Linked DNA regions of Elephas maximus indicus. The protein of the gene in region 3 purifies or fractionates together with the protein of the main gene of each other region. This does not show direct contact. Links are inferred from orthologs where the notes say so. Each region holds a gene or a part of one and is shown on either strand. Other genes may lie near its edges.

What was found.
Region 1: the proteins of EPC2 (region 3) and ING3 purify together in Homo sapiens (affinity purification with mass spectrometry; 3 studies listed by BioGRID and IntAct, with this or other methods). This does not show direct contact. The link is inferred for Elephas maximus indicus from reciprocal best matches to the Homo sapiens genes EPC2 and ING3.
Region 2: the proteins of EPC2 (region 3) and MBTD1 purify together in Homo sapiens (affinity purification with mass spectrometry; 3 studies listed by BioGRID and IntAct, with this or other methods). This does not show direct contact. The link is inferred for Elephas maximus indicus from reciprocal best matches to the Homo sapiens genes EPC2 and MBTD1.

The regions. Positions count from the first base shown.
Region 1 is NC_064826.1:28,787,914-28,798,042, forward strand, and holds the start of ING3 (inhibitor of growth protein 3), read right to left. Parts: upstream 4,120-10,129; 5' UTR 3,950-4,119; coding exon 3,922-3,949; intron 3,678-3,921; coding exon 3,606-3,677; intron 1-3,605. UniProt on the Homo sapiens protein: Component of the NuA4 histone acetyltransferase (HAT) complex which is involved in transcriptional activation of select genes principally by acetylation of nucleosomal histones H4 and H2A.
Region 2 is NC_064837.1:42,532,284-42,542,333, reverse strand, and holds the start of MBTD1 (MBT domain-containing protein 1), read right to left. Parts: upstream 4,710-10,050; 5' UTR 4,462-4,709; coding exon 4,441-4,461; intron 3,846-4,440; exon of another isoform or gene 3,782-3,845; intron 1-3,781. Other genes in the region: UTP18 (U3 small nucleolar RNA-associated protein 18 homolog), read left to right, coding at 5,193-5,531, 7,170-7,282, 9,348-9,446. UniProt on the Homo sapiens protein: Chromatin reader component of the NuA4 histone acetyltransferase complex, a multiprotein complex involved in transcriptional activation of select genes principally by acetylation of nucleosomal histones H4 and H2A.
Region 3 is NC_064824.1:45,494,041-45,504,896, reverse strand, and holds the start of EPC2 (enhancer of polycomb homolog 2), read right to left. Parts: upstream 4,559-10,856; 5' UTR 4,264-4,558; coding exon 4,111-4,263; intron 1-4,110. UniProt on the Homo sapiens protein: May play a role in transcription or DNA repair.

The DNA.
Region 1 (10,129 bases), on a different chromosome or scaffold from region 3:
AGACGGGCTGATGCCATTGGGCCCTGCTACTAGGAGAGTTGGACCCAGGACACCAAGTCCACCTAGCTGACCTACATCAACTCAGATGTGCTGCCCAGCACCGCCACCCTGGACAGAAGCCCCAAGGTGGGCAGCCTGCATGCAGCTAGCGAGCAGTCATGTGAGAAGCATCAATTGGTCCCAACCCACCTGGAGCAAAGCAGAATGAAGAACACCAAAGACACAAGGAAAATATTAGCCTAAGAGATAAAAAGGGCCACATAAACCAGAGACTCCATCAACCTGAGACCAGAAGAACTAGATGGTGCCCAGCCACCACCAATTACCACCCTGACAGGAAACACAACAGAAAGTCCCTGACAGAGCAGCAGAAAAGTAGGATGCAGAACTCAAATTCTAGTAAAAAGGCCAGACTTAATGGTCTGACTGAGACTGGAGGAGCCTCAGAAGACATGGCCCCCAGATTCTCTGTTAACCCAGAACTAAAACCTTTCCTGAAGACAACTCTTCAGACAAAGATTAGAATGGATTATAAAACATAAAATGATACTCATGAAGAGTGTGCTTCTTAATTCAAGTAGATACGTAAGACTACATAGGCAGCTCCTGTCTGGAGGCGAGATGAGAAGGCAGAAAGGACAGGAGCTGGCTGAATGGACACAGGAAATTCAGGGTAGAAAAAGGCATGATGACGTATTACAGGGATACCAACTAGGGCCACATAACAATGTGTGTATAAATTATTGTATGAGAAGCTAACTTGAGCTGTGAACTTTCACTTAAAGCACACAGAAAAATTTTGTTTCTCCAAAAAAAGAAGTGATTAGAATTAAATAGGCTAAATGTCTCAAAACACAATTACTTATTGAAAGCACCACTACTTAATCCTTACACCTCTTTTAATAAGAAAAGGTGGTAAAAAGATCTTAATATCTCGTGATATGGCCTTAAGTATCTCATTATCTCTTATCACAAGTGAATGTAACAGGTACAATCATTTATTCACTTAACAGACTGTTAGTTATTCTAGATAAGTTTTCCTCAAAGTGTGTGCCTGTGCCAGGAATAATCATCTCACTTGATGTCTGTTAACCAAAACCCACTGCCACTGAGTAGATTCCAGCTCATAGCAACCCTATAAGGACAGAGCAGAACTGCCCCACACGGTTTCCGAGGCTGTAAATCTTTACTGAAGCAGACTGCCACATCTTTCTCCTGGGGAGTGGCTGGTGGGTTCAAACTGCAGACCCTTTAATTAGCAGCTGAGTGCTTTAAGGACTGCACCCCCAGGGCTCCTTTTTACAAAAGGACAAATAAATGGGATTCTGTCATCATGTAAGCTGAGGAAAACCTTTTTATTCTATCTTCCTTTTGGAAATTTGCAGTACAAAACAGCTTCATAAAGATTCTGAGAGTCCCTACTGTAATTTTTTAAAAAGTATTTTCCTTTTTTAATAAATAAACTTATTTAACACAGAGACCTCTTTTAACCCATAATATCTATTAAGGTTAGAAAACTCTAATCATTGTAAAAAAAAAAAAAATACAAGTTAAAAAGCCTGTAATTTGTATAAATTATAAGAGAATTTTAAATTTGTGATGATAATGAAAATTTATAAAATGTTCTTTTTTGGAAAACTTGGTGGCATAATGGTTAAGTGCCACAACTGATAACCAAAAGGTCGGCAGTTCAAATCCACCAGGTGCTCCTTGGAAACTCTATGGCACAGCTCTACCCTGTCCTACAGGGTTGCTATGAGTCGAAATCGACTCCAGGGCAATGGGTTTGGTTTTGCTTTTTTTTGCACCACGTACTATACTTTGTAACTTATCTGTATTATTTTAATCCTTAGATCATTCTCATTTTAAAGATGATGAAAACTCCTCAGAAGTGGTAATGTGATCAAAGTCAGTAAGTTAGTAGCAAAGCCCTAAATGAACTCAGACCTACCTGACATAAAAGTCTGTGCTTGATCCTGCAGAAAACAATACTTTAAAAAATCTTTAGCATTTCAACTATAATAAAGTTAAATTGGGTTTTGTGAGCTGGATAGAGAGCCCCATGTACAATTCAGACTTCCATCATACAGTATACCCAGTAGAAGGATGTGGCGGCTTCCATACCATATCACCTTTCTAATATGCCCCTAATGAAACTGGTAAGAGGTTGAGAAAGTACATTCATTAACAATGGGTACAGATGTATTGGCTGGGGGGGGGAGGGGTGCAGAGAAGCAAGGGGAAATGAAAAGGACAGGGTCTTAGCTACTCCAAGGCTTCCACAGTCTGGGAAGCTTGTTGAGCTGATCTCTTTCCATAATACTCCTTTCCTCTCCATCAGAATTCAAAACCCACATCAACATCCATGCCTACTTTTCTAAGAAAACCTGCCAGCATGACAAACATTTTATATACAGACCACACATAGCTGGGATGCATGGAATCAAAACACATATCTTCTGGGGCCATACTCCATGAAGGCTAGCTATTAATGCTAATTACACAATTAAGGAGTACCTACAAACAAAGGGAGTGACACATCCAACAAGGGACTTTCAATTATACATTTTAATTATGTATCATATTATTCTTTTCCCATTCTTAATTTTTAACAAAGTATCCCTACAAGACACTTGAAACAACTCTCATCATACTCATTTCACAAATAGGGAAGGTTTGTCAGGTTCTGTCCCAGCATGGTAGACATAAATATGGTATACAGCACTGTTTTCTTACTTTGTAATGTATATATATTTTTTTTTTTAGTTAATGTAATTCTGCCTAAGTATTTGCTTTCTTATCTCCAAAGACAGTGATTCTTTGCATTCTCTGAATAATGGGCCCTTTTCAGAACTTGCCAGAAAAAAAGAAATCAAAAAAAAAAAAAATATATATATATACATAGGATATAATTCCAGTGTATTCCAGAACACCCTGAAGGCCATTTGCCAACTCTCTAGTTGAAACGGCAAAGTAATTTCGGTAAAGTCACCCGACAACCAAGCTATCACGAAAAGAAGAAAAGCTCGCTGACAAAAATGTTATTACATGCGACAGGTAGCTTTACAATAAAATCTAATTACCCTCACTCATTTTGATTGAGGAAACACTGTGTGGCTGACAACTGAGAACGTACGCTACAATGTGTAACTTTCCAAAATGTGGTATTCCAAGTTCACCAGGGTTTCTGAAAACCTACATACAAGCCATGCTTCTAGAAGTTTTCTGCTCTTGAAAATTTTAAGGAGAGGAGCTTTGAAAGAAGTGTTGAAATTTAAATTCGGTAACGTATTAGCTCAAGTCAAAACCTTCTCAACATTTATGCTGATGTAAATTCCATTATATTCCATTATATGCCAAATAAATAAATGTATACTTTTTTTTTTTTGCACAGACCCAAATTCGAGAAAAAAATACACTTGCCCCAATGTCTCCTCTTGTGAACGCCACGAGAAAAGCAGCGCGGGAGAGAAGAGACAAGATTCGGCAATGCCCGTTCTCTTTGACAACTCCTTACGCACTAGCGAGCGCGCCAGAAGAGTCAAAGAGCCGGCAAGTCTAGCGCTGGATGCGCAAAGCGAACAAGAGCAAACCGGGCGACTTACTCTGCACCTGCAAGTCCATCTCGCGCATCTCCGTGAAGCGGTCCCGCAAGTCCATGGGAAGCTGCTCAATCACTGTCAAGGAGAGAGTCCGTCAGAGGGGCGGGGCCAACGGCGAAAATACGCGCCTACGTCACTGCGCGTCTGCGTGCGTCGGGGGGGCCAGGGAGCCGGCAGCCCACAACGAGCCTGCCAGTTACCGTGAGAAAGAAACATCCCCCGCCGCCCCCTCCCTCCCGCCATCCCGCCTGCCCGGCCACTCGCACTCTCGCCCGCCCGCGGCTCACACCGGCGGCCCACGTCAGCGCCGCGCACTCACTCTCCAGATAGTCTTCTAGGTACAACATCGCGGCCCTTAGAACTGGGGTAACGAGGGCGTCCAGGGGTTTATTTGTGTCACTCGCTGTCGCCGGAGTTTTGTCCCTTTCAATATGGCGCCTCCGCTAGCAGCACCCGCTCGGCTCCGGAAAAAAAAAAAAAAAAGAAAAGAAACACTTTGGCGCCTGACGGCGCTCGCCTCACTGCCGCCCGGTGCTGCCATTGGCTGACTGGGGCAATGACGTAAGCCGGTCGGTGTCAGCTCTTGCGCCTTTGTGGGAAGTGTAGTCTTCCTCCCTCCGGAACGAGCCTTGATGGGCGGGCAGCTTTCCACGTGGAAACTACAAAAACTAGGCGCCATTGCGAACAGTGCGCCGCTGAATCCGAAATGCGGTGCCTCTGTTTATTTGTTGATTTTTGACAGGGAATGACGGGAGTTGTATGCTCCTGCACAACACAACTAGGAACAACTTTTCACCTGTTCTTTACTGCTATGATTTTATGACCCGGTGTTTGTGACTCATGGATTTCAGTGCCCGGCAAATCGCGAAGGTTCTAACGGTGGAATAATCAGTAAAGTTCGGGTAATTTGGAACGTGAAGAACAAAACTCTGCTGGAATCTGCCCTCAGTATTCACTCCTAAAAATATAAATGGGACACCTGGTTGGCGTCTATGTAATTTTAATGTAATTTACACTGAGAAGTTAGAGTGGAATGTGCATTCCCAGATGAAAAGGTGACAGCTAATCCCCGCTACCAAAACCCAAACCGGTTGCAATTGATTCCAATTCATAGCAACCCTGTAAGAACAGAGTAGAACTCCCCCATAGGGTTTCCAAGGCTGGTAGCCTCTTATAATCATATGTCCTATTTTTCAGTTCTTTCCGACGTCTTTCTATTGTAGTTGATCTATACACACAACCGAAAAACAAACACGTCGCCCTCCGGTGGATTCGGATCTCATTGCTACCCTATGGGATAGAGTAGAGCTGCCCCATAGGGTTTCCAAGGAGAGGCTGGTGGATTTGAACTGCCGACCTTTTGGTTAATAGCCAAGATCTTGACCGTTGAGCAACCAGGGCTCCTATACTCAACACCTGCAAAAGAAAAATAGTTCTTGGAGCTTTTATGTCCAATGAGCTGTGTTAGTAAAAACTTTGGATTATAATAGACATCTAGAGTCGTGGATATTGTCTTTTACCAACTTTGGACTCCTTCCCCCAAAAGTTCGTAAGTGATGTGTTTAGTTCTTCACTGCTCAGTTTCTTTTTTCTTAACTCTACCAAAAACCAAACCCAACCCATTGCTGTAGAGTCGATTCTGCCTCATAGCGACCACATAGTACTCAGTAAATGTTAGTTATTATTTTCCTCACTTCTTTATTTAAATCTCTTCATTTTTTAGGAAAAATTGTGTTTAGTTTATAATCTAATGTTCTAATCTGTATTATTCTGCTTGGTGTGGAAACTCTTGTTTATGTGTGTGTCCAGCTTGTCCCCTCCATTACATACTCTTGTATTCAAGAATTTTCTACCGCACTTAATCAGGAGACTTCCTGTCATACTGATGAATCTCAAAGGAACTTTACCCCAATCCTAATAAGAATTATTACCTACTTTTATCTTCTCTACTTGTATCTAAAATCTGGTACCTTAAGTCTTTCTTTTTCTCTCTCTTTCTTTCGGAACTTTTTTGTCTTGATTGTTTTGTGGTTTCACAGTGATTAAATCTAGGTCTGGATTTCTTCTTTTTTGTTGTTTTTGGGTTTTATTTTAACTATGCTTGGGATTTAAAGGGATTCCTGAATGTCAGGATTAATGTCCTCCAACAATTATAGAAAATTTTAAGCCATTATTTTCTTCAATGTTGCTTATTCCCCATTTTCTCTCTTCTCTCCTAGAACATATACAGACTTTCTCACTGTCTTAGGCTGGCTTCGCTAGAGAAGCAAAGCCAGTAAAGCATTATATATATATATGTATATATAAAACAAACAACAACAACAACGAAACTGTTGCCGTTGAGTTGATTCTGACTCAGAGGACTCTATAGGACAGAGTAGAACTGCCCCATATGGCTTCCAAGGAGCGGCTGGTGTATTCGAACTGCCAACCTTTTGGTTAGCAGCCAAACGCTTAACCTTATTAAAAAAAAAAAAAAACCCATTGCTGTCGAGTGGATTCCGACTCATAGCGACCCTATAGGACAGAGTAGAACTGCCCCGTATAGAGAGATTTATATCAAGGAAATGGCTCACATGGTTATAGAGGCTGGAAAATCCCATCCTCTACATAGTATTTTTGGCGATATCAGCTGTTACTATAAGAAATAAGGCTTTCTTTCAAGGATTAGCTGTGTCATCTTTACTACTGAAAGCAGAGCCATCAACATCTTTAAGACTAACCAGATTTGAAAACCAATTTAGAAAACTCACCCTTAGCGTTTTGTTTCTCTGGAACTACCCCCGGTTCCAAATGTCTTAGGCTGGGTTCTCTAGAGAAGCAAAACCAGTAAAGCATATACATATATATATGGAGAGATTTATATTAAGGAAAAGATTCACACAGTTGTAGAGGCTGGAAATGTGGGTCAGGCTGGAGGCTTCTCCTGACTCATGTAGCTGAAGGGGCTGGCGAGCCCAAAATCTGCTGGTTAGATGGCAGGGCTCTGGCTCACAGGCTGCCCAACAAATCCCAAGATTGGCGAGCAAGATAGCAGTAAGCTGCTAACTCAAATCCCAAGAACCAGAGGCCAGACAAATAGGATCCAGGGTGCGAGCAAAAGCTCACAGGCCTTGCCAGAATATCCACTTATATTTGATGCAGGGTGTGTGCCCAAGGAAACTGCCTTTCAACTGATTGGTTACTCACAGCATATCCCATTATGGAGGTGATTGTAATGGAGAGGAAAACCTGGACACACATATATAGAAGAGTTTTCTGATTAATGTGGGCCTACTGGATGCACTCTCCTGGGATTTGAAATTGGAATGTAGAGACACTGAGACTGAAGGAATGTTGACAAAATTACATTAATTGCAGCTCAATAGATATATGGTCCACAAGCTGCTGTTGCTGAGACCCCCAGAGCTGCTTTACTTTTTTCCTTGCCTTTTATTCCTTTCTCTGCCTAGAGTTGGATTTTTTTTTGCCAAAAGAGCCTGATTTACAAGTCTACATTGTCATAATACAAAAAAAAAAAAAGTAGAATTCTAGCTATTAATCACTCAGCTGATTATACATTATGAACTGCTTTTTATACTAGCGTGACTCAAGTATCTGTCTTCCCTCACCCCACCTTTACGGTTGACCTTTTTTAAAAATTTATTTGGGAAACAGGAGGCAGGATGGTTGCAGTGTTTCAGTGCAGGATCTACACTTAAATTGCATGGGTTCACTTCCCTACTCTAACACTGTTGTGTGATCTTGGCCAAAGTTATTTTAATTCTCTGTGTCATTTCCTGGTCTACAAAATGGAAATAGTAAAAATAGCTAAATCATAGTACTATATGATCGTAATGATATTATCTATGCAAAGCACTTAGTGTAATGATTCAATTGTTGTTGTTACATGCTTTCGAGTCAGTTCTGATTCATAGCAACCCTAAGTGCAACAACGAAACACTGTCCAGTCCTGTGCCATCCTCACAATCATTGTTATGCGTGAGCCCGTTGTTGCAGCCACTGTGTCAGTCCATCTTGTTGAGGGTCTTCTGCTTTTTTGCTGACCCTCTACCAAGCATGGTGCCCTTCTCCAGGGACTGATCCCTCTTGATAACATGCCCAAAGTATGTGAGTGACATATCCTTACCATCCTTGTTTCTAAGGAGCATTCTGGCTGTACTTCTTGCAAGATAGATTTATTCCTTCTTTTGGCAGTTCACAGTATATTCAATATTCTTTGCCAACACTATAAATCAAAGGCATCAGTTCTTCTTTGGTCTTCCTTATTCATCTCCAGCTTTCCCATGCATGTGAAGCGACTGAAAGCACCATAGCTTGTTAGTCCTCAAAGTGACATCTTTGCTTTTCAACACTTTAAAGAGGTCTTTTGCAGCAGATTTGCCCGATGCAATGCATCTTTTGATTTCCTGACTGCCGCTTTCATGGGTGTTGATTGTGGATCCAAGTAAAATAAAATCCTTGACAACTTCAGTCTTTTATCCATTTATCATGACATCGCTTATTGGTCCCAAAAACCCACCCAAAAAAACCCATTGCCATAGAGTCAATTCTGACTCATAACGACACTATAGGACAGTGTAGAACTGCCCCTAGGGTCTCCAAGAAGCGCCTCGTGGATTTGAATTGCTGACCTTCTGGTTAGCAGCCATAGCACTTAACCACTGTGCCACCAGGGTTTCCTACTTATTGGTCCAGTTGTGAAGATTTTTGTCTTCTTTATGTTGAGGTGTCTTTGATGTCATTCCAGAACTCGTCTCATCTTCAGTCATTAGTGTTCAAGGCATCAAATCTAATCTTGAGATCGTCTCTAAATTCAGGTGGGATATATTCAAGGTCATACTTTAGCTCTTGCAGACTTGTTCTAATTTTCTTCAGTTTCAACTTGAACTTGCTTGTGAGCAGTTGATGGTCTGTTCCCGCATTGGCCCCCAGCCTTGTTCTGACTGGTGATATTGAGCTTTTTCATCATCTCTTTCCACAGATGTAGTTGATTTGATTCCTGTGTATTCCGCCTGGCAAGGTCCATGTGTATAGTCACTGTTTATGTTGGCAAAAAAAAGAGTTTGCAATGAAGAAGTCATTGGTCTTGGCAAAATTCTGTCACTCAATCACCAGCATCGTTTCTATCACCAAGGCCACATTTTCCAACTTCTGATCTTTCTTCTTTGTTTCTAAATTCCAATCACCAGTAATTATCAGTGCATCCTGAGTGTATGTTCCATCAATTTTAGACTGCAGAAGTTGGTAAAAATCTCCAATTTCTTCATCTTCAGCCTTAGTGGTTGGTGCATAAATTTGAATAATAGTCATATAAACTGGTCTTCCTTGTAGGCATAGGGATATTATTCTATCACTGACAGTGTTGTACTCTGGGATAGATTTTGAAATGTTCCTTTTGACAGTGAATGTGACTGACGCCATTCATCTGAAAAAGTTGTTATTCCCAGCATAATAGTCCATATGATCGTCCGATTCAAAATGGCCAATACCAGTCCATTTCAGCTCACTAATGCCTAGGATATTGGTCTTTATGCATTGCATTTCATTTTTGACAGTTTCCAATTTTTCTAGAGACATACTTTGTACATTCCAGGTTCCGATTATTAATGGATGTTTGCAGCTGTTTCTTCTCATTTTGACTCGTGCCATATCAGCACAGAAAAGTCCGGAAAGCTGGCTCTGTCCATATCATTAAAGTCGACTCTATTTCGAGGAGGCAGCTCTTTCCCAGTCGTACGTAGTTTGAGTGCCTTCCCACCTGCAGGGCTCATCTTCTGGCACTATGTCAAACAATGTTCCGCTGCTATTCGTAAGGTTTTCATTGACTAAATCTTTTCAGAAGTAGACCACTGGGTCCTTCATCCTAGTCTGTCTTAGTCTGGAAGCTCAGCTGAAACCTGTCCACCATGGGTAACGCTGCTGGTATTTGAATACCGGAGGCATAGCTTCCAACATCACAGCAAGATGCAAGCCCCCACAATACGACAGACTGACAGACATGTAGGGATCATAAATGGTAATACCATAATAAACAAAGAAAATATTGAAGATGTTTAGGATTTCATTTTACTTGGATCTACAATCAATGCCCATGGAATCAATAGTCAAGAAATAAAAAATGCATTGCATTGGGCAATTCTGCAAAAAAAAAAAAAAAAAAAAAAAACCATTGCCATCGAGTCGCTTCCAACACATAGGACAGAGTAGAATTGCCCTATAGAGTTTCAAAGGAGTGCCTGGTGGATTCGAACTGCTGACCTTTTGGTTAACTGCTACACCACCAGACCTTTTTAGTGTTAAAAAGCAAAAATGTCACTTTGAGGACTAAGGTGCGCCTGACCCAAGCCATGGTATTTCAGTCACCTCATGTGCATGAGAATGCTGGACAATAAATAAGGAAGATGGAAGAAGAATTGATGCCTTTGAATTATGATGTTGGTGAATACGCCATGAACTGTCAGAAGAACGAACAAATGTGTCTTGGAAGAAATATAGCCAGAGTACTCCTTAGAAGCAAAGATGGT
Region 2 (10,050 bases), on a different chromosome or scaffold from region 3:
GGAGCCGCTGGTAGATCTGAACCGAACCACTGCGTGCCACCAGGGCTCCTCAGCAGCACTAGCTACATTTTTTTCTGTTTTGTTTTTTTAAAATACTTTTTATTGTGCTTTAAGGGAAAATTTACAAATCAAGTCAGTCTCTCACACAAAAACCCATATACACCTTGCTACACACTCCCAATTACTCTCCCTCCCCTCTCTTTTCGTGTCCTTTTCGCCAGCTTCTAACCCTCTACCCTCTCATCTCCCCTCCAAGTAGGAGATGCCAACACAGTCTCAAGTGTCCACCTGACCCAAGAAGCTCACTCCTCACCAGCATCCCTCTCCAACCCATTGTCCAGTCCAATCCACGTCTGAAGAGTTGGCTTCGGGAATGGTTCCTGTCCTGAGGCAACAGAAGGTCTGGGGGCCATGACCTCTGGGGTCCTTCCAGTCTCAGTCAGACCATTAAGTCTGGTCTTAGGAGAATTTGGGGTCTGCATCCCACTGCTCTCCTGCTCCCTCAGGGGTTCTCTGTTGTGTTCCCTGTCAGGGCAGTCATCAGTTGTAGCCGGGCACCATCTAGTTCTTCTGGTCTCAAGATGATGTAGTCTCTGGTTCATGTGGCTCTTTCTGTCTCTTGGGCTCGTAATCACCTTGTGTCCTTGGTGTTCTTCATCCTCCTTTGATTCAGGTGGGTTGAGACCAACTGATGCATCTTAGATGGCTGCTTGCTAGCGTTTAGGACCCCAGACGCCACTCTTCAAAGTGGGATGCAGAATGTTTTCTTAACAGATTTTATTATGTCAACTGATTTAGATATCCCCTGAAACCATGGTCCCCCAACCCCTGCCCCTGCTACATTGGCCTTCGAAGCATTCAGTTTATTCAGGAAACTTCTTTGCTTTTCATTTAGTCCAATTGTGCTGACCTTCCCTGTACTGTGTGCCGTCTTTCCCTTAACCTAAAGTAGTTCTTATGTACTATCTAATTAGTGAATACCCCTCTCCCACCCTCCCTTCCTCCCCTCTCTCGTAACCACAAAAGAATGTTTTCTTCTTATTTCTCGAGTTTTTAAAATAGTGGTCTTATACAATATTTATCTTTTTGCAACTGACTAATTTCACTCAGCATAATACCTTCCAGGTTCCTCCATGTTATGAAATGTTTCAGATTCCTTACTGTTCTTTATTGATGTGTAGTATTCCATTGTATGAATATACCATAATTTATCCATTCATCCGTTGATGGGCACCTTGGTTGCTTCCACGTTTTTGCTATTCTAAACAGTACTAGCTACGTTTTAATTGTCCAACAACCACAGGTGGCTAGTACCATGCTGGACAGCACCATCGGTACAGAAAGTTCTATTGGGCAATGCCGATTCTAGACCAACCCTTCGACTGTGAACATAAGGAAACTGAGGTACAGGATCTTGTCTAACAAGTGCCATGGAGCTAGTCTGCAGCAGAACTGCAACTCTCCCCCAGTCTGCCAGTGTCCCTCTTACTTGTCATGTCCCACCTCAAATTCAGGGTTTATTTAAATAAGTTTCCTTCTCTCCCTTTCCCTTCCCACAAAGTAAGAGAAAGTCCAAATTTGTGAAGAAAAAAATTCTCGCAAACAGCTTATTCAAGAATTATGATTAGATTTTTAAAGCCAATCTGCACTCTTTATATAAAATCACAGTAGTCTTAGACAGCTAAGAATGCCCTGGTGTTAGACATAGCTTGTTGTATTTATTTTACGTCCTTCCTCTTCTACTGGGCTGATGTTTCATCTCCCTTTTAGATGTGAAACCCTGAAACCAATGATATATACTGACTGGCCTGACTTGAAATTATAAGTGAAAAGATTAAGTTTTATAGTACTAGCAAACATTTTAAATTGAGAAACAAAGAGCAACCCCAAGAATAGTAACTTGCCTACAAATGTGGTCATTCAGGCCATTGAACACTCTTGGCTTTTAGTGTTTCAGTGGTTCAGTATTATAACATTAACAACATTTTTATTTCTGAAAGTTTTTCTTTTCTTGATCCTTACAATGTTTTTAAACAATATAAAATAGTTTTGTTTTAATTTCCAATGTATCTAAGGAACTAAAAGCACCTAAACCTCTAGGAAGGTTCAAAAACTAATCAGGCCAATATATACTCAGTCATGACAGAATTTTACCAGCGTCGTCTTTAAAAATAAAACCAGTTGTTCCTGTCTAGTATGTTCAGAATGCAAATATCTCCAAAGTCAGACAACTTAAGTCATGACAGTTCATGTCTAAAGGAAAACAATGTGCAACTCCATAGTAATTAAAACTTTAAAGACCCAACCATACAGTCCCCCCCCCACTATCCAGTATTCAATTCCATGTTAAATCCTAATAATTATATTTAGAGAAAAAATTGTATTTCAAAGTGTCCATAAAATAAAACACTGGGCAGTTAAAGGAAACAGTCTAACATAATACTTAAGAACACTTACTCAAAAATTTTCCTCATATTTTGGGAGGTGCCCAAAAGCCTTGAGTATGGGGTTCTGTACAAATACAAGTGACTTGTTATTCAGAGAAAGGAGGTTGTGCAAAAAAAAAAAGCTATTTTCTTTCTAAACACTCTTTGGTATTGAGGTAAGCAAGAACAAAAACACAGTCTAAGCACACAAGAGAGAAGCAACAGTCTCTTTTAAGTCACGAAAGGGGGGTGGGAAAATATCTGTGCTCTCACATTTTAAACAGGGACAGGAGAGCTTAAACTGAAGCAAAAATTTATTCTCTAGGTTTTAGACTTGCTACGTTACTTCTATACTACATCTGTTATGCCCTAACTCCCACTTTACCATATTAGGAAGAGAAAACATTTGCCCCAAGATCCTTTTGCCAATAAAACTACTTTTGGAGGCAGCATAGCTCATCAAGTGAAAGTAAACATTAGAAAATTGCAAGTGACAACAGCTTAAATCAAACTACCGGGAAACCGAATTACCGCAACTATCAAGTGATAAATACCAGTCATACTACCGTATGGTCATACTACTGTATGGAATGTTTAAAATATTGCAAACGCTAAACAAATATTAAAGTGCTGCATCAATTCCAGATCTCATGAAAAACAGGGCAGTCTAAGAAAAAAAAAAAAAAAGAATGAACTACAGAGGAAGGGGCCTTGGAAGGAAGGCCAGCTTGCAAGAAACACATAGGTTAAGGGTCGGGGTAGAGAAGGCGCACTTCTTAACATCCCTCTACCAAGAGATGCTTGTAACAACTTCAGCACTACCCACTACCCCCCATAGGCGATTTTAGGCTTCCTTAGGGAAAAGGATTTAGGCAACACACAAATGTGCTTTGAGACAGGAGAACTACGGAGATAATGCTGAAATTTCTAACTTTAAAAAGATGCACTAGCCAGAGAAAACAGCTGTGAAATCCCCAAAAGGCCCAATTCTCTAGCTTTTTGTAGAAAAACAGCAATCATCTTCAGACATGTAAGCCAGGACACCTGAAAGTGACCCAGCGAAGTTTTTGGCTGGCCCTCACTTATCTCTCAAACCTTCCTTCCCCTACTTCCCTGCTGTTCTTTCCTGGCACACAAAATATATAGGCCAATGAGCGGTGGGTGGGTGAGGAGGATGTGAGAAAAAATTTGAGAAGTAAAAAAAGGAGCAACTTAACAAGGACACTGAATGAGACTGAAGGGTCTAATAAGGGCAAGCAACACAAACAAGAACTACTGGAAAACGAAACGGGCTTTCCTGGGCAGTTGCGACCGCTCGGTGTTCCCAGGGTTTAAGCAGAGGTCAGACTACCTACCACTTGTCAGAGAGGCTGCAGAGGGGACGGCTGCTTGGGGTGACCTCTAACGTCTCTTCCGACTCTGAAACGTTAGGATTCTCATTTCACAAAACAGAATTCAATGGTCACAGAAGCCCACCGACTTAAAGCCCTTCGAGCCGAGGGCCTAGGCGGCTGTTTCCCAAACACCACTCCCACCTCTCCCTCCCACACGTGCCCACCCCGCCCCCTTTCAATATTTCCACCTCCACGTGCGAAAGGCCTCGCGGCACTGACCCCAAAGCAGATAGGCGCCTCCCCCCTCAGGGGACTAAAACTGTGCCTCCTCCGAGGGGAATGAGGGCTCCACTCTCCCACCTCGGGCAGCTAAGAAAGGGAAAAGTCCCCCATCCCGCCAACCCCCCACGTCAGAACAGGGGGAAAGGGGGAAAAAGAGAAAAACTTTCTCCAAATTTCCTCCCAAAGAGTGGAGGGGGTAGAGAGAATCCCAGCGAGGCCGGGCGGAGGAGAAGGGGGGGAGGGGAGCCCTTGAATCGTTTAACGGCCAGTAGGGGGAGGGGGAACTCCGGGGGTTGAGGGGGCGTGGGATGGAGAAACAGGCCTGGGAGCTGAGGTCAGAGAGCTGCAGGCGTCCCCCCCACCTTGCACACAAAGCGGCCGCCGCGCTCGGCTCTCACCAGATCCTTTGTGTTTTCCATCAGGGCCTCATGGGTAGGGGTTGTCCGTGCTCCCCAGGCCCGCGGCGCCCCCTCCCCGCGCTGGGGGCAGGCGCCTCTACCCGGGACTGCAGTGACCACAGGGGCCCCCAGCTGGGCCCAGACCGGTGGCAGCTGCGGCAGCCCCCGGATTTCCCCCCTTTAACTCGGGTGGCCCCAGGATATCAACAACATTAGCATAGCCCTCCCTCCGCAGCGCGCCTGCGCCGTGACCCGCGCCCCGATTGGCCCACTTCCCTACATACCCTCCTTTCTCTCTTCCAGCGTGGGACCCTCTGCAGGCGCCGTACGCTAAGGGCCGTACCAAGACGAAGGGGTGGAAAAAGAAATCGGAGCTTTGGTTAAGCCAGGTGCTTCAAGTCAAGAGCAAGAGTAAAAGTTTCATTCAGTCATCCCAGTTCATACTCTGGCTTTCTAGTACTCCTTTCAAGGTGCTGCAGCTGCAACGTTGTGTTGGAAAAATTTTCCACTCCTGTCACGCCGCTTCCCCCTACACCCGGAAGATTGGCCCTCCCGGAGGAACTCCCACAGGGGGAGGGGCACACGAGGGGAGTGGGCGTTACGTAGGGAGGTAGTGTTGGGTCACGTGCTAAGAGGCTGCGCAGGCTCCTTTCGGCCTCCCCCGGGCCTCTGTGGCAAAGGAAAGCAAGGCGTCCCGGCGCATGCGTAGTGAGGTTCCACGTGAGCGCCTGCGTTTCTTCTGAAACCCAACGATGCCGCCGGAGCGAAGGAACCGAATGAAACCGGACCGGCGTACCAGAGGGAAGCCAGACCGGAAGACTCCAAGGAAGCCGAACCGGAGAACCGCAGCGAGGCCGGACGGACCGGCCCCAAAGGCTGCCCCTTCATTCCAGCGGAAACCACCGGCCCGGCCGAGCGCGGCGACCGCTACAATAGCAGTCGCTGTGGAGGAGGAGAGGCGGCTCCGGCAGCAGAACCGTCTGGCGTTGGAGGACGACAAACCGGCCGTGGAGCGGTGCCTAGAGGAGCTGGTCTTCGGCGACGTCGAGGACGACGAGGACACGCTGCTGCGGCGTCTTCGGGGCCCGCGGGTGAGGGAGGCCGCGGCGCGCGGGCTGGGCGCGCTCGGGCGGGGCGCGCGGAGGGCGGTGAGGCTCCGGGGGCGGAGCCTGGGCGACCTGCGGCGGCGGGAGCGTTCAGGTGGGAGGGCGCCGAGAAGGCGGGCGCCGAGGGGCGCCTCCGTGCGGACCTCGAGTCCTGCCTGGCTCCGAACTGAAAGTCCCGGGAGGGCGGAGACCGCGCCTTTCTCCGCCCCGGTGGAAGGCGCTGGACACGAATGTCGTGGTCGGGAGCATCTTTCGCGGCTCTGCTTAACTCTGCCAAAACTCAGTGTTTTATCCAACTGGGTGGGTCACCTCCCTGAGTCGCCTGCCGAGCTTGTTAATATGGATTGCGGAGTTCCACTGTGTTTGTGGAACTAGAATTCGTGGCCACGTTCCTGGGGATCTATTTTAGCAACCTCTCTAGGTGATTATTTCTCGCACCAACTTTTGAGAAGTACAGTGTATTCGTTTATTCAGGAAGTATTTGTGATCCTGTTGGGTCTAGGTACTCTTTAGCAGTGGCAGGCTGGGTGATTGATTTTAATTTTTTACGCTCAAAGAAGTCATTCTTTTTATTCTGTATTTGGCTTTTATGCTCAGCCATTGTTCTAGGTGCTGGAGGAGACGTAGTAATGTTTAACACTGTCAAGAATCCTTGTTTTCTTGTAGCTTATGTACTATTGGTAGAAACGAGATAAAGGAGATAAAAACATGGGTAAAATTTAAGTATGTTGGTGACCAAAGAGATTAAAAAAATAAAGCATTCAAGGAAGGGGGTAAGTGTTGTGCAGGACACTGAAATTTTCTATAGAGTGGCCAAGGAAAGCCTCCCTGAGAAACTACTCAGTAGACGTTTGTTAAATGAATGCTGATCCTGCAGGTGTTAAGTACGCTCAAAACCCCCTTTGGTGCTGTGGGAGAAGCTGCTGAAATCTACTTGGAAGGTAGAGCACTAACGCTGGAAAAATGCTCAACAGTGTGTCAGTTCTATAGTGAGGAGAAAGAACAGTCTACGTGGAGTTAAGACTTCACGTAGGAGGTGGGATTTGTTGGGCTTTGAAGGATCATAGGCCAGTCATAAATTATCGTGCGATTTGGGGAAAGCTCAAGCTTGTTTCAGGGGGTGTTCTGTGATCTAGATTTAGGTTTGGTAGTATAAAGTTTCTTAAAGAGGTAGGGCTGAAAAGGGTTAAGAGAAAGGGAAAAGAGGTATTTCTAAAAATATGAAATGGGGATTAATTGTAACATTTAATTACGTTATTTTGTCTTTACTGCTAGTCTTTCTCTAGTCCTGTAATTTTGGTACTGGAATTTTTCCTGCTCTTCATCTGCCAACATAACCTTTCATTGTTCTTGTCTTGATCTGTTCCTTTCAGTGCCTTGACTTTCTCTCCTTAACTATTCATCTTGCCTCGCTCGCCCTGTCCAGGCTGTGGTGCCATTTTCTGGCCTCCTCGTTTTCTGCTTCTGCCTCTAGCACTTGTAGTGGTAACACTCCATTCCGTTATCTTCATCAGACGGCTGCAAACACAAAACATTTTGCAAGCCATATAACTACAAGGTGTGTGTCTTTACCGTCATGGGATATGAAAAGCTCAGTGCTTCAGAGCGTTTTGTTTTCTCTAGATTCAAGTACATGAGGACTCTGGTGACTCAGAAGTGGAGAATGAAGCAAAAGATAAATTTCTCCCTCAAAAGAAGCCAGTTTGGGTGGATGAAGAAGATGAAGATGAGGAAATGTAAGTTGCATGTCTTTTCCAGAATTTGTCTGGACACTGGAAAAGTTATTTTGCAGGTTTTTAAATTCTTTTTATGAATACGTAATCATGTGAAGATCTGAAAAATATAGGCATTATAAATACAAATAAAATATAGTTATGGGAGTTAAGGTATCAATTTGAAAAATACAGGAAGAATAAGAAAAAAAGTCACGACCAAGAGAGAACCACATGTTGGCATACTTCTTTCCTTCTCTTTTCTATGCTGTACAGAGTAGTTGAGGGCACAGTGTTTGGGTCAGACCTGAGTTTGCCTCCTTCTTTGGCCAGATCCGAACTATGTGGCCTGGGGCAAGTTTGGAACTTAGCTTTCCCTGTTTGTAAAACAGGGGTAATAATAGTAACAATATCAGAAAGCTATTAGGATTAAATGAAACAGCGTACGTAGAACCCTTAGCATAGTGCCTAAACTGAGGAAAGGCTCAGAAAAATATTAGCTAGCATGCACAGTATGTGTTTTATTAGTTGAGAAACTGCAGTATATTTTTTGATTTTTTTTGTACTAGATGATACATTGCAGGCATTTCTCCCCATATCAAGCATCTCTTCCCTTGTTTTAAAAGAAACTTTTATGAGTGTTTTCAATGGTTACAGTGTAGTCAGTTATATGAATTAACTGTAATTTTTATAGCTCTTTAATGTTGACAAAAACATCTTTGCACGTAAATTTTTGCCTACTTTATTATTTCCTTAAAGATTCTTTGAGGTGGGAATCCTTAAGTACAGAATGTTTGATCAATTACTTGATGAAAAAACATTTTTAAGGCTCTTGATGAATACTGCTAGACTGTATACCATGAGGTAGTTAACCTTCTCACTGAAAAGAGTCCGTCACTGTCTTCTCAGAATCAGTGATTTATCTTTCTTCAGATTTGGTTAGTTTGATGGGTGAGAAATAATACCTTTACTTTATCTGTGTTGAGAAAATGCTTTTGTTCTTGGTATTTTTTCTCGTAAGAATTATGTTTTTCCTCATCTCTGGGAGACTGTTTATTAACGATTTTAATGTATCAACTCTTTACGTACTGAGACTTCCAAATCTTTATACGTTAGATTTATTGAAGATTTTTCTCCCAGCTTTCTGTTGGCTTTTAAGTTTTGTTTGTAATTTTTTTAAGAGTACAAAATATATATAGTTTTAAATTATAAAATCTGTGAATCTTTTTCTTCATTGTTTTTAACAGTAAAATCTGTTAGAAGAAGACAAACGTTTGCCTTTTTCCCTTTATACTATGTTGAATTTGGCTTTTATACGTTTAATTCTTTGATTTACCCAGGATTTATTTTAGTGAATGGTGTAAGCTGTGACTAGATAAGCTGTTATGAATTTGAAGTATTAGCTCTCTCAAGGGTAAACTCGATGATTTAAAATACTGGAGACTTTGTTTTGGGGAAAATGACGCACATATGTGTGTATGAAATGTTTCACATCTTACGAATCTTGACATGTATTGTTCAATTAGACGTTCTCTCAAAATACTAAAGGCAACAGGTATTTGTGTTGACTCTGTAAAAGTCATTTAAAGCTTGTTTTTTCTCCCCTTTTTTTAAAATTGTGCTCTTAGTGAAAGTTTATAATTCAAGTCAGTTTCTCATACAAAATTTTATACACACATTGTTATGTGACCCTGGTTGCTCTCTCTACAATGTGACAGCACACTCCTTCTTTCCACCCTTTATTTTCCGTGTCCATTCAACCAGCTTCTGTCCCCCTCTGCCTTCTCATCTTGCCTCTAGACAGCAGCTGTTCACATAGTCTTATGTGTCTACTTGAGCTAAGAAGCACACACCTTACCAGTGTCATTTTATGTGTTATAGACCAGTCTGATTTTTGTCTGAAGAGTTGACTTAGGGAATGATTTTAGTTTTGGCCTACCAGAGAGTCTGGGGGCCCTGACCTCTGGGGTCCCTCGAGTCTCAGACCATTAAGTCTGGTCATTTTACTAGAATTTGAGGTCTGCGTCCTGCTTTTCTCCTGCTGCATCAGGGATTTTCTGTACAAGCATGCTGTTTTGATCTCTTACAGGGTTGACATGATGAACAATCGGTTCCGGAAAGATATGATGAAGAATGCTAGTGAAAGTAAACTTTCAAAGGACAAGCTTCAAAAGAGACTTAAAGAAGAGTAAGTGTCTTTTTAATGTGATTTACCAAGAGGTATTTATAACCAAAGGTGCCCTGGTGGTACAGTGGTTAAACACTCAGCTGCTAACTGAGAGATTGGCAGTTCAAACCTTCTAGTGACTCCATGGGAGAAAAGACCTGGCAATTTGCTTCCATAAAGATTTATAGCTCAGGAATCCCCTTGAGGGACTTCTGCTCTGTCATGTATAGTCGCTATGAGTTGGAATGTCTCGATGGCACACAGAGTTTATAACCAATAGTTTATTTTGGTTTGCACAGTCTTTGGTTATAACAACTTGGGTAGTCGAATTTCTCTTTAGACACAGTAAAAGTATTGGTGTTGGAGGAAATGGCTAAATGTCAGTTTTTTTGGCGGGGGGGGGGGCGGTGGAGAATACAACAAACAGAAAGGAAATTTGGGAAAAAAACTTGTGTCAATATAACCACATGATGATATTGTTTATTTGCTTGTTCATTTTTTTATCGTGAACCATTTTTTCTACAACTGTATACTGTGAAACTTTAAAAAAAAATTTACATACCTGCCAGCTACATTAATTAATTTTTAATATTTTGCCACGTTTGCTTTATATATGTGGAGTTGG
Region 3 (10,856 bases):
ATTATATATTAGTGTCCCATAAAAGCACAGCTCTTGGTATAAAAAAAGAAACAGAAGTTCATTAAACACTCAACAAACATTTATCAAGCATATACTATGTGCTACGCACAGTTCTGGGCAATCGGAAGACAATGAACAAAACAAGAAGATTCTTGAGCTTATAGAGATTACATTCTAGCACGAGAAAATCTAAATAACAAATTAGGATCGTTTCCTACAAATTTCTCATATGCTTAACATAACATAATGGTGCCAATACAGTGAGAAGCAACTACAAAGAAAAAAAAAAAGACAAAATTTGAAAAGCCAAAAGCAAATGTCAGAAACAGTTCAATGATGAAAAAAACTACACTTCCTAACAATTTAATATTCTGACCAAATCAAGATCATCTTTTTAAGTTGCCAAAATTAGAAAAAGCAAAAATATTACATACTAAAACTGTAATAAATTTAATATTTATGTAGTAGTTCAGAAGATAATTCAGGGTTCTGTACAAGGTCAATACGGAAGCATAGTGGTTAGGAGAATGGGATTTTGTGACATTAAAAGCAAGGACTTGAATGCCAGCTCTGCCACTTGCTAGCTGTGAGGCCCTTCAGTTTCTTCATCTATAAAATAGGAATCAAAATACCTCATACGGCTGTGACAAGGATTAAATAATAAAAACTGGAAACAATCCAAATATCCAACAAAAAATAAATGGATGAATATAGTGCATCAGTTCAATGAAATACTACTTAGCAGTAAAACGAATGGATCGACACACACACAACACAGATGACTCTCAAATGCATCATCATGAGCAAAAGATGCCAGACACAAAATAGTATAATTCCATGTATATGAAATTTTTGAAAAGGTAAAACTAATCTATAAAGAAAGAAAATCAGAGGTTGCTTGAACTAGGGTGGAGGGGGACTGACTACAAAGGAACACAAAGGAACTTGCTGGGGTGTTGGAAAAGTTCTGTATCTTGACGGTCGTGAGGTTCCCATGGGTGCATACATCTGTCCAAACTCATCAAAACATATGCTTAAAATGAATACATTTTATTGTATGTAACTTATACCTCAAAGGACTGAATGAGATAATACACATGAAGCCCTTAAAACAGTAACAAGGACATAGAAAGTATTCAATAAATGGTAGCTTTTTCAAAAAAAAAAAAAATTTTTTTTTTTTTTTTTTTTTAATTTAAAACATCAACACTTACAGGGAGGTGGCAAAATGGCTGATCAAAATCTGGTTGTTTAGATTCCAAATAAATAAAAGTTTATAGTATCTGACTGAGGCCAAGTGCCATGACCTAGACTACAAAGACCAAGCTATAGGAAGATCCCAACTGGCAAATGTCAGACAAAAGATGATGAAAATAAGGACAGGGAAGAAAAGAAGTAAAAGATGCCTGCTTGCCAAAAGAAAAGGATCAAAGGAACAATATTCTCAGCAATGATAAGAGTGCCACCAATGTCAAGGAACACCTAGATTACCTCAATCAGGCACTGTCTGAATGTAATTCCAAACCGAGTCAAGGACTTTATAAAGTCTAACGATAGTCCAGAAGCTACGCACAAAGGAGAGAGTCCTTAATTTTATTGTTGGGGGTGGGATGTAAAGGAGGATGAACATCCATGAACGCTAATATTAATCAAAGGATTTTGCCAAGCCAAAGAGAGAAGGGGTCACTTTGTGGACATTTTTTAAAATGCCAAGCAAAAATTAGTACATTCATAAGCCCTCCCCCACCCCCCAATTCTACATGATTTTAAAAAATGCTTATGAAGGTAACTAATTACAACATGTAGATTCTGGAAGTTGGGTTGAAACACAACTCAAGTGAAACACAAAACAAAACATCTGTGAAATTTATATCAAGGCAGAACTTTTTTTGTTTTGTTTTTTGTTTTTAAACAAATAGTGCTGCTTAAAGTCCTGTAAACAAGACCAGAAGAACTAAACGGAATGCCACTCAAAAAAGCGCAAGTCTTCTTACATGTTAATTTAAGAAAAAAAGAAGAGATGGGAAAAAATATCCCAATTGGACACTCTGGGAAGCAAGACTTTCAACTATAAATCTCAACTGTCAGGGTTTGTTTTGATTTTAAGGACCTCCACTTGTCACTTTAAAGAGGCAGAAAAGACAGAGAAAAAGGTTAGAAGCCCTGGGTTTCAACTATGGTTCTATCGGAATTTGGATTTCTTCTTTCTTAAAACTGGGGAGTTGAGGCAGGAGACTGAAAAGAATCCAACTTTGGCACTCATGTTCTAGATTGAAAATCACAAGTTTTACTGAAAAGGTTAATAGTACCGTGCTGTGACAGGAGTTAAGCACTTATTTTCAACACAACATGAAAAAAACTGCAAATTTTCTTCCTAAATTCAGATAAAATACCAAGACAACTAAGGACCAAATTTTGCTGATCATTGTACACATCATACATACCTTCCAGAGTTTAACTCTTCATTCTGGACAGGTTTCTTGACTCTTACCAAACCAAAATAATAAAATCCAAGTAATTACACACCTAATTGATACTTAGATTCCTAAGCTACCTTTTTTTTGGATCAAAACCCATAAAATAACACTAACAGAAATTTAACTTTGTGGAAACCCAAAGCTGTGTTTTTAAGCGTTATTAAAGAAAATTCAACCCATTATGTACACACACTATAATTATTCTATTTTAATTATCCTTTCAACGGAAAACTGAGCGAAGCTGGGAACAAATTTTCTTTAAAAAAAATCAAAATGTCATTCAACATTAAACTTCAGGCATATATGCTGGATTTTCATTTTATTTATTTTAAAAACGTTGAGCGCTCATCCCGCTATTACGGCTATATTCATTTCCCACTGAAAAGGTTGTCTTTCAAAAAATCAAACACCAAAGAAAAATGTGATTAAATCACAGTTGAAAATAGTAATAACGGGGTAATATAATGAGATCAGAACCTGAGTAGCCAATGAAAAGCATAAAAGCATTTCCTTCAATATTAATAGACAAAAGAGAAAACCAATCACAGAAACCTCGTGCCGTTTTTTGACAGTCACAGAAGCAAGAGAACCAATCCACACACGCCCGGGGTTGACAATAAGGCGGGACCGTAGGTTCATTGAAGAAATTCTTGAGGGTGCAGTTACTATTAACTTCGCATGCAAGGAACACCACTAGAGAGTCACAAACACTGTCAAGTCAGACGAAATTTAACTGTATGTAAAATTCAAGCCACTACCATGGGAGGGGGGGAAGCATCATTTCTGCTAAAAGGCATTGTAACATCAAATAAACAACGGCCAATTCATATGCACGAGGTCTTCAACTTCTAAATGACCACCATCCACTACTGACAATTCTCAGGGACAGAGCGTGGGCACCGCGCACGCCGACTGCTCTTCCCAAACATCCGTCGTTCATTCCTAACGCTACGCGCCGAGCGGGCGCCGTCCTAGCGAGGCCGGCAGAGCCGTCCCGCGCGGGGCCGGGGTGCGAGCCCTTCGCGTCTCCCTAACGCTACCTACACCGTGGTAGTCGCGGCCCCCGCCCTCCCCCGCCGCAGTGCTGCACCACTCACCCCGCTGCAACATCCCGGACGAGGGAGCGACGAGCGAACATTACCTTGCTAGGAGAAAAACGATGTTTGTTTTTTAAAGCACTTTACTTTTCATAAGTCATTTCAAAGAGAACCCAATGCAAAAGCAAATTTAAAAGTCGGTAGAAAAAAAAGTCTTTCCTAGCCGAAAGATCCCGCGCTCATTAATCAACCCGGCACCGGGGTGGAAAAAAAAGGTAAACAGAGACCGTACGCCAAGTGCGGCTAAAGCATCCCCTGCGCCATTCCCGGCCGCCGCTTACGGCAAGGCCCCCTTACGGCAGCGTAAGCAGCGCTGCGAGCTAATCACAACACTGGGACGCAACAACATGGCGGCCGCGGGCGGGCGCTGCGCCGGCCGAGAGGGTTTACGCTACTCCGCCGGCGTAAGGTCCCATCCATTGGAGCGGCAGCGGCGCCCTCCAGCGAGCGTAAAGCGCTCTGTGAATGGCGAGGCCCGACTGACAAAGGGGAGGGGGGAGGAGGGAAGGGGGGGTAATAAACACTCGAGTCCCTACCGATTCCTCCTCCTTCTCCATCCCGGTGGGCATCTGGGGCACGGCCCGGTTGATGGAGACGCAGTCGTTGAGATCAGGCATGTCCTTGCCGCGGTAGATAGGCAGCGGTTTGGCGGCGTCCAGCGCCCGCGCTCGGAAGGAGAGTTTACTCATTGTCTCCCCGCCTTACAGGAACAGCCCGGGCGGCGGCGTCGGGGCGGGCGGGGAGGGGGGGAGGACTCCCGCCGCCTCCTCCACCTCCTTCCTCAGTGCAGCGCGGCCGGCCCGCTCCTCCTCCTCCTCCTCACTGGCCCCGGCCACAGCATGGGCGCCCACCCCACCCGAAAACAGCCCCCCGCCGCCCGCGGCCGCTTCCACACACTAGATCCGCCGCTCGCCCGCCCGATCCGCTCCCTGCGCCATGGCCAACATGGCGGACATTACCACAGCGGCGGCGAGCGATCCCGGCAGCCCGCGCGAGAGCGCGCCCCCGCCGCGGGGACGCGCCTCGCCCTCTCCCTCCCTCCTTCCTCTCCCTTCCCCTCCCTTGCCTACCCACCCATTCTCTCCGCGGCGCTGCCGGCCCGCGGGAGCGTGCTCAGCCTCCGGCCGCCGGGAGGAGAGTGGGCGACGGCGCCCCTCCGCTGGCCGGCCGCTGCTGTTGCGGCGTGGCAGGTGCCAGGTGCGCAAGTTAACCCGTGCCCCAGAACCTGCGCCTCTGCCTCCGCGGCCGCAGCATCCCGCTCCTTGGGTGCCCGGGAGGAAGGCGCCGGTCAAAACGCCGCGGCGCCTAACAGCGCGTACGGGCTGAAGTCTGTGAGCGGGAAAGGAAGATGCCGATTACCCGAGCATGTATTTATAAAGCGCCCGTCTCCAAGGCGCGCCTAGGGCAGGCTAACGCATCTTCCAAATCGCACATCCCGGGAAGGTGCAAACGGTCCATTCCGTCTGCCCTGCCACAGGCGAGCCGACCTGCGGGGTCTCACCCACCCCGAAGCGCGCGCTCGCCCCAGCCCACTTCCCCGCGTCCTTTCGTCAGTACCTGACCGGTAGAGCGCTCCCAGATAAGGCACCGTCGCTCATCTTCGCCTTCGCTGGGAGGACGCTAATGGGAGCAGAAGGGGTTAATGGTTTGAGGCTGCTGGATGCAACAAGTGTACTGGAACCTGTCCCTCAAACTTCTGTAGAGTTATTTGGAAGATGGCAGGTATTTCTCAGATTTCAAAAAAAAAATAAGTTTTTAGAAATTAAAATTACAAAATTTGACCAAGACCGCACACATTTCCAAAGAGGCAGATAGATGTGCAAGATATTGGGTGCTGTGGAAGATGCAAAGAAGTTAGAGATAAAGTCTCTGCCCTCCTGCAGCTTTCACATTAATGGAATGACAGAAGAAGTCGGAAAGGTGATAACAGTGAGAGATGTAAATAGATGAACAGCTGGAAAAAATAAATGACAGCAAAAGATAAAAGTACTTGAAGAAAACTTTACAGGAGATGACACAAGGCACATGATTCATTATCAAATGAGTTGTACAGGTAATAAATGCCATGAAAGTTCAGAGAAAGGAGACATTACTTTAACCTGAGCTGGTCAGAGAAAGCCCTAAAAAAAAAAAAAAAAGGAGGGGAAATCAAGTAATTGATATTGCTGACATCAACTTCGCATAGCCAAGAGTTTCTTAGTTAAAGCGTTACAGGTTTCTCACAATATCCCTAGGATGAGTGCACAGATTTTATCAATTCTTAATAATTGGTAAACTCCCTAGCTGAGAGAAGGGTTTGCTGAAGTCTAGCAGGGAAAAAATTGATTCATAGTCATTTGTACGTGACATCGAAATGGTATCTCTCCATCCATTATGGAAACCCTGGTGGTATAGCGGTTAAGAGCTATGGCTGCTAACCGAAAGGTTGGCAGTTTAAATTCATCAGGCGCTCCTTGGAAGCCATATGGGGCAGTTCTACCCTGTCGTATAGCGTTGCTATGAGTCGGAATTGACTGGACCGCAAGGGGTTCGTTTTTTTAGTTTTCCATCCATTATCTCCTTCTTCCTACCCCCACTTCTTTCCCTCTTTTTCTCCCTCTTTCTCCCTCTTTTTCCCCTTCTTTTGAAGGCAGAATGGTGGATAAGGATTTCATAGTAGCTTCTAAACAATTTAACCAGTTTGGCCCAGCAAGACTCCAAGCGTTGTTTAGTGGAGCTTGAGTGTTTTCCATCACTTTGTTGTTGGAAACAATGGAGATGCTGTGACTCATTTCTTCTTGTAAGCAATACCTTCCTCAAGCTCATGGGCATGTCCCGCTCTGAGTGCTACCCTCTGAAGGAGTTTCAGTCCTCTGCAAGGAAGAATAAGAAGTTGTTGGGAGGCAGAAAGAGAAAAAAAGAAAGCAATTTAGTAAAGGAAATAAGTGAGTCATCTGTATTCCTAGCACTTCTCAGGTTCAAAAAGGATAGCTTTTTTCTATTCCCTATATTCATTGTTACTCTCAGGAAAGGAAGTTTTGAGTACCTGTGATATACCAGACTTTATAATGGTAAACCAAAAAAAAAAAAAACCAGTTGCCATCAAGTTGGTGCCAACTTATGGAGACACTGTATGTTTTTATTTATTTATTTATATTGTGCTTTAGGTAAAAATTTACAGCTCAAGTTAACTTCTCATTCAAAAATGTGTGCACATACTGTTTTGTAATATTATTGCAATTCCCACAATTTGACAGCACACTCCCCCTTTCTACCACAGGTTCTCGGTGTCCATTCATCCAGTTCCTGTCCCTCCCTGCCTTCTCGTCCTGCATTTGGTCTCATACATTTGATTGAACTAAGAAGCACGTTCCTCGTGTGTGTTGCCTGTCTAATCTTTGTCTGAAAAGTGGGCTTCGTGAATGGTTTCAGTTCTGAGTTAGCAGAGTGTCTGGGGGCCGTAGTTTTGGGGGTTCCTCCAGTCTTTGTCAGACCAGTAAGTCTGGTGTTTTTACATGAATGTGTCCATGTGTTTTAGAGTAGAACTGTGCATTATGGGGTTTTCAATGACTGTGATCTTTCAAAAGTAAATCACCAGGCCTTTCTTTTGAAGCACCTCTAGGTGGATTTGAACTGCCAACCTCTCAGTTAGTAGCTGAGCACCGCTTTGGTCACCCAGGGACTTTATATATATTATAACGGTACGTCATATATATTATCTCAATTAATTAAATTCCACTTAATTCTCATTATAACCCTGCAAAGAAATGTTATCATTTTACCACTAAGGAAACTAAGGCTCAGATAGATAATTTGTCTACACAAATAAGTGGTAGTTAATAACTAGGTTCAAATCCAGGTCTAGCCTGACTCCAAAACACATACTTTGTCAGCAATGCTACGCTGCTACCCAAGTTCCTCTCTTCTTATTGACCATTCAACATTCCAAAGTTGCTGATCCAAGGTGAACTACTGAAACTCTTCTATCAGGTTCCAGAGCCTAAAGATGTAATACCTCCAAGGAGGGCAGGAGCAATGGCTGCTCTGTTAAGCACTATATTTCCAGTTCTGTGCCTCACAATACATAGCAGGCACCTAGTATATATATTTGTTGACAGATGTTCCACCAGGAAATTCATTTATACTGACCCTATTCCACTCCATTTTAGGGTTCGGATACCTTCCTGGCCTGTCACCTGAACTAGCCATCATTGCCAATAGTTGCTCTTGTTGTGGCCTACACTGCTCTCCAGCTTCCTGCCTTTGGGTTTAGGAATTTTAGAACCAGTTAAAACAATTCAAACAAACTTTTTGAAACCTAAAATTTAATTACAAGAATGGGTTTTTGCTGTAGTAGTTCTTGTTTTTGTCGTTGTTTTGTTCTTTTACTTTAGAATCGATTTCTTCCCCAAATCTCCATTTTCTCCTTGCCCTGTAGGCAGTGATTATAGAGCTGGGAATAAAACAGTTTGAGGCAAATAACACAATACACTTTTCAAGTGAGACACAGCCTGTGTTTTCTTGCCTTCCAATTCAGTGCTCAAAGTAGAATGTGCCTATGTTTCACATTTGGAAAGTAGCTTTTATTTGGATATAAATATTATTTCTCATAAAGTAACGTTTATTTGTAATCTAGTTCTTGAACACCCATTTAATTGTTAGTGCCAAACACAAAATATCTTTTCAACTTTTGAAGTAGATCCTCTTATGAAATGTCTTTATCAAAACATGTTTTGAATGGCTGTGCAGCCTAATAGCCTATTTTAATTTCATTGTAAGGCAGTGAGTATAGTCATTCTAAAATTGGTCCACTTCAGATATCCTCTGGACCAATTCCAAATGAAATGCACTTAGCCCAGCAAGTGTAATATATATAAACACCGAGAATTAGAACCAGTTTTAAAGCGATATCGAAAATAAAGCCAGTATCTAAATGTAGTCTAAATTAGAATTAATATCAAGTAACCATAAGAATTGAACTTACATTTCCAGTTTCCATTTCCTGTACTACAATCAGGGCAGGCAGCTTCCAAATAATGGACAAATTACTTTTTGAAAGGAGCCTTAAAACTAGTAAACACAGTTGCTTTTCAACTATTTCAGAGTTTTGTAAATGTCACGTTCCTTTTAACTGGCTCCCTATTTCGGCAAACTCAGTTGAAAGTTAATTGGGTTGGTATGTGAGCTGCTTTCCCTACTCCTCCCCCTTATGTTCCCAGGAATGAGCCCAGTACCCGTAAAGCTTTGCTGCTTTCCATATGTAACCTGAATGTGGGGTTGGTTTGCTTTCATTACAATTAACCAGAGTCACTTTGCTGCTTCCAGTGCCCTTTACTGAGGCGGGCCTGAATCTTTGGGACTTAGGGAGCAAGACTGTATTCAAGTGACATGCCAGACATCTACGTCCACTTCTATATTCACCAGAGTGGGAATAAAAAAAAAATACCAGATGGTAAATAAAAATGTGTAGCTGTGGCTCAGTCTCTTAAAAGCATCACTCCTCAGACCTGGTTGGGATCACAGGGTGCCACCTTGTGTATAAGCCGACGATTTACTTCCCAGTTCCACAAAGGATGCAGATAGACTCAAAAATAATCAGTCCAAAAGCTCCGTGTTTTATTTACCAAGGCAAAATGAGACAGATGTAATTGAGGGAAACAGGTTTGAAAACACACAGCTCCTGAGGGTCCACAACACTCAATTTTAAATCACACCAACAGTCTGCCCCACCCCTGACCGGAAAACACACCCACTAGTCCACACATGAAACAGATTGATAGAGCTCACTCAGGCTTTTGGACGGGGATGCTAAAAATAAGCAAAGCTCTTGTGACAGAGCTAATGAATCTGACAGGGACGATTGTCCGTGTCCAAACAGTAAGCAAGCTACCTAGATGTAATTTCAGTACTTTGGATTTCTGAGAGGCAGTAATTCCATTGAGGTTATGAATATGATTCTACCTGTTTTAGTAAAGTGTATGATAGTCAGGTTTAAAATATGTCTGCACTTGCAACAGGGAAACACACTTCATTGGGGCAAGGCCAACCCAGCTACATTGCCCTTGAGAAATCTCACATTTGGAGAAAACCAGCTATAAATTCAGCACAGCTGCCATTCAGCTGTAGCCACTGTAACATTCATAGAAATGGGTAGGCCTTTCACAGTATTTTCAAAAGGGAGTTGGAGGGGGAGATCCTAGGACTTTGAGGGCTAAGGTGAGTATCTGCCATTGGTCTAGGTCTTCTGTAATGTCTGTTCTTCTCAGCTGCCTACCCTGACCTCCTCCACTCACCCATCTTTTTCTCCTCAAGTGTCTCTGACAGGTAACTTGGAAGGTGGTTTCTCTCTTTCTGTGAAGGCAGCTTAGTCCCAATGACTTCCTGGCACATTTCAGACAACTGAAGCAGGCTTACAGTGCACAGCTAGCTAAGGTCCCACGGTGTTAGCTGAGAGGATTCCATTTTAGGAAACCTGGGTTGCTATTCCAAATGTGACTTCCCTCACTTTTGTTGTGTCTCTCTTGCCACCAAAGGACTATTGTTCATAAGCACAGATTTGCAAATGGAGTATGCAGTTGGAATCCTGAATTAAAACTGGTGAACTGATTTAGTAATAGCCATGCCCTATTGATCTTATCATTATCCCCTGAACTCAAGAGTGACTGGATAGGAGGCAGAAAGGAAAGCAACTTTATGTCTCTAAATTAGAAAACAGGCCTACCTCCTTTTCATTGGCTATTACTCGTGACTTTGGCAGGGGAAGAAACAGAAACCGTTGGGATAAAACGCTAATTACCTGAATGTTTGTTGGTTTACCCACAACTCCACACTTGCCTGGCTTCAGAAAACATTTAAAATAGCTTCTACACATTTCATAACATGGAGGAATCCGGAAGGCATTCTGCTGAGTGAAATTAGTCAGTTGCAAAAGGACAAATATTATATAAGACCACTATTACAAGAACTCGAGAAACAGTTTAAACAGAGAAGAAAATATTCTTTGAAGGTTATGAGAGGGGGGAAGGAGGGAAGGTGGGAGAGGAGTATTCACTAATTAGATGGTAGATAAGAACTACTTTAGGTGATGGGAAAGACAACACACAATACAGGTGAGGTCAGCACAACTGGACTAAACCAAAAGCAAATAAGTTTCCTGAATGAACTGAATGCTTCGAAAGCCAGAGTAGCAGGAGCAGGGGTTTGGGGACCATGGTTTCAGGGGATATCTAAGTCAATTGGCATAATAAAATCTATTAAGAAAATATTCTGCATCCCACTTTGGCGAGTGGCATCTGGGATCTTA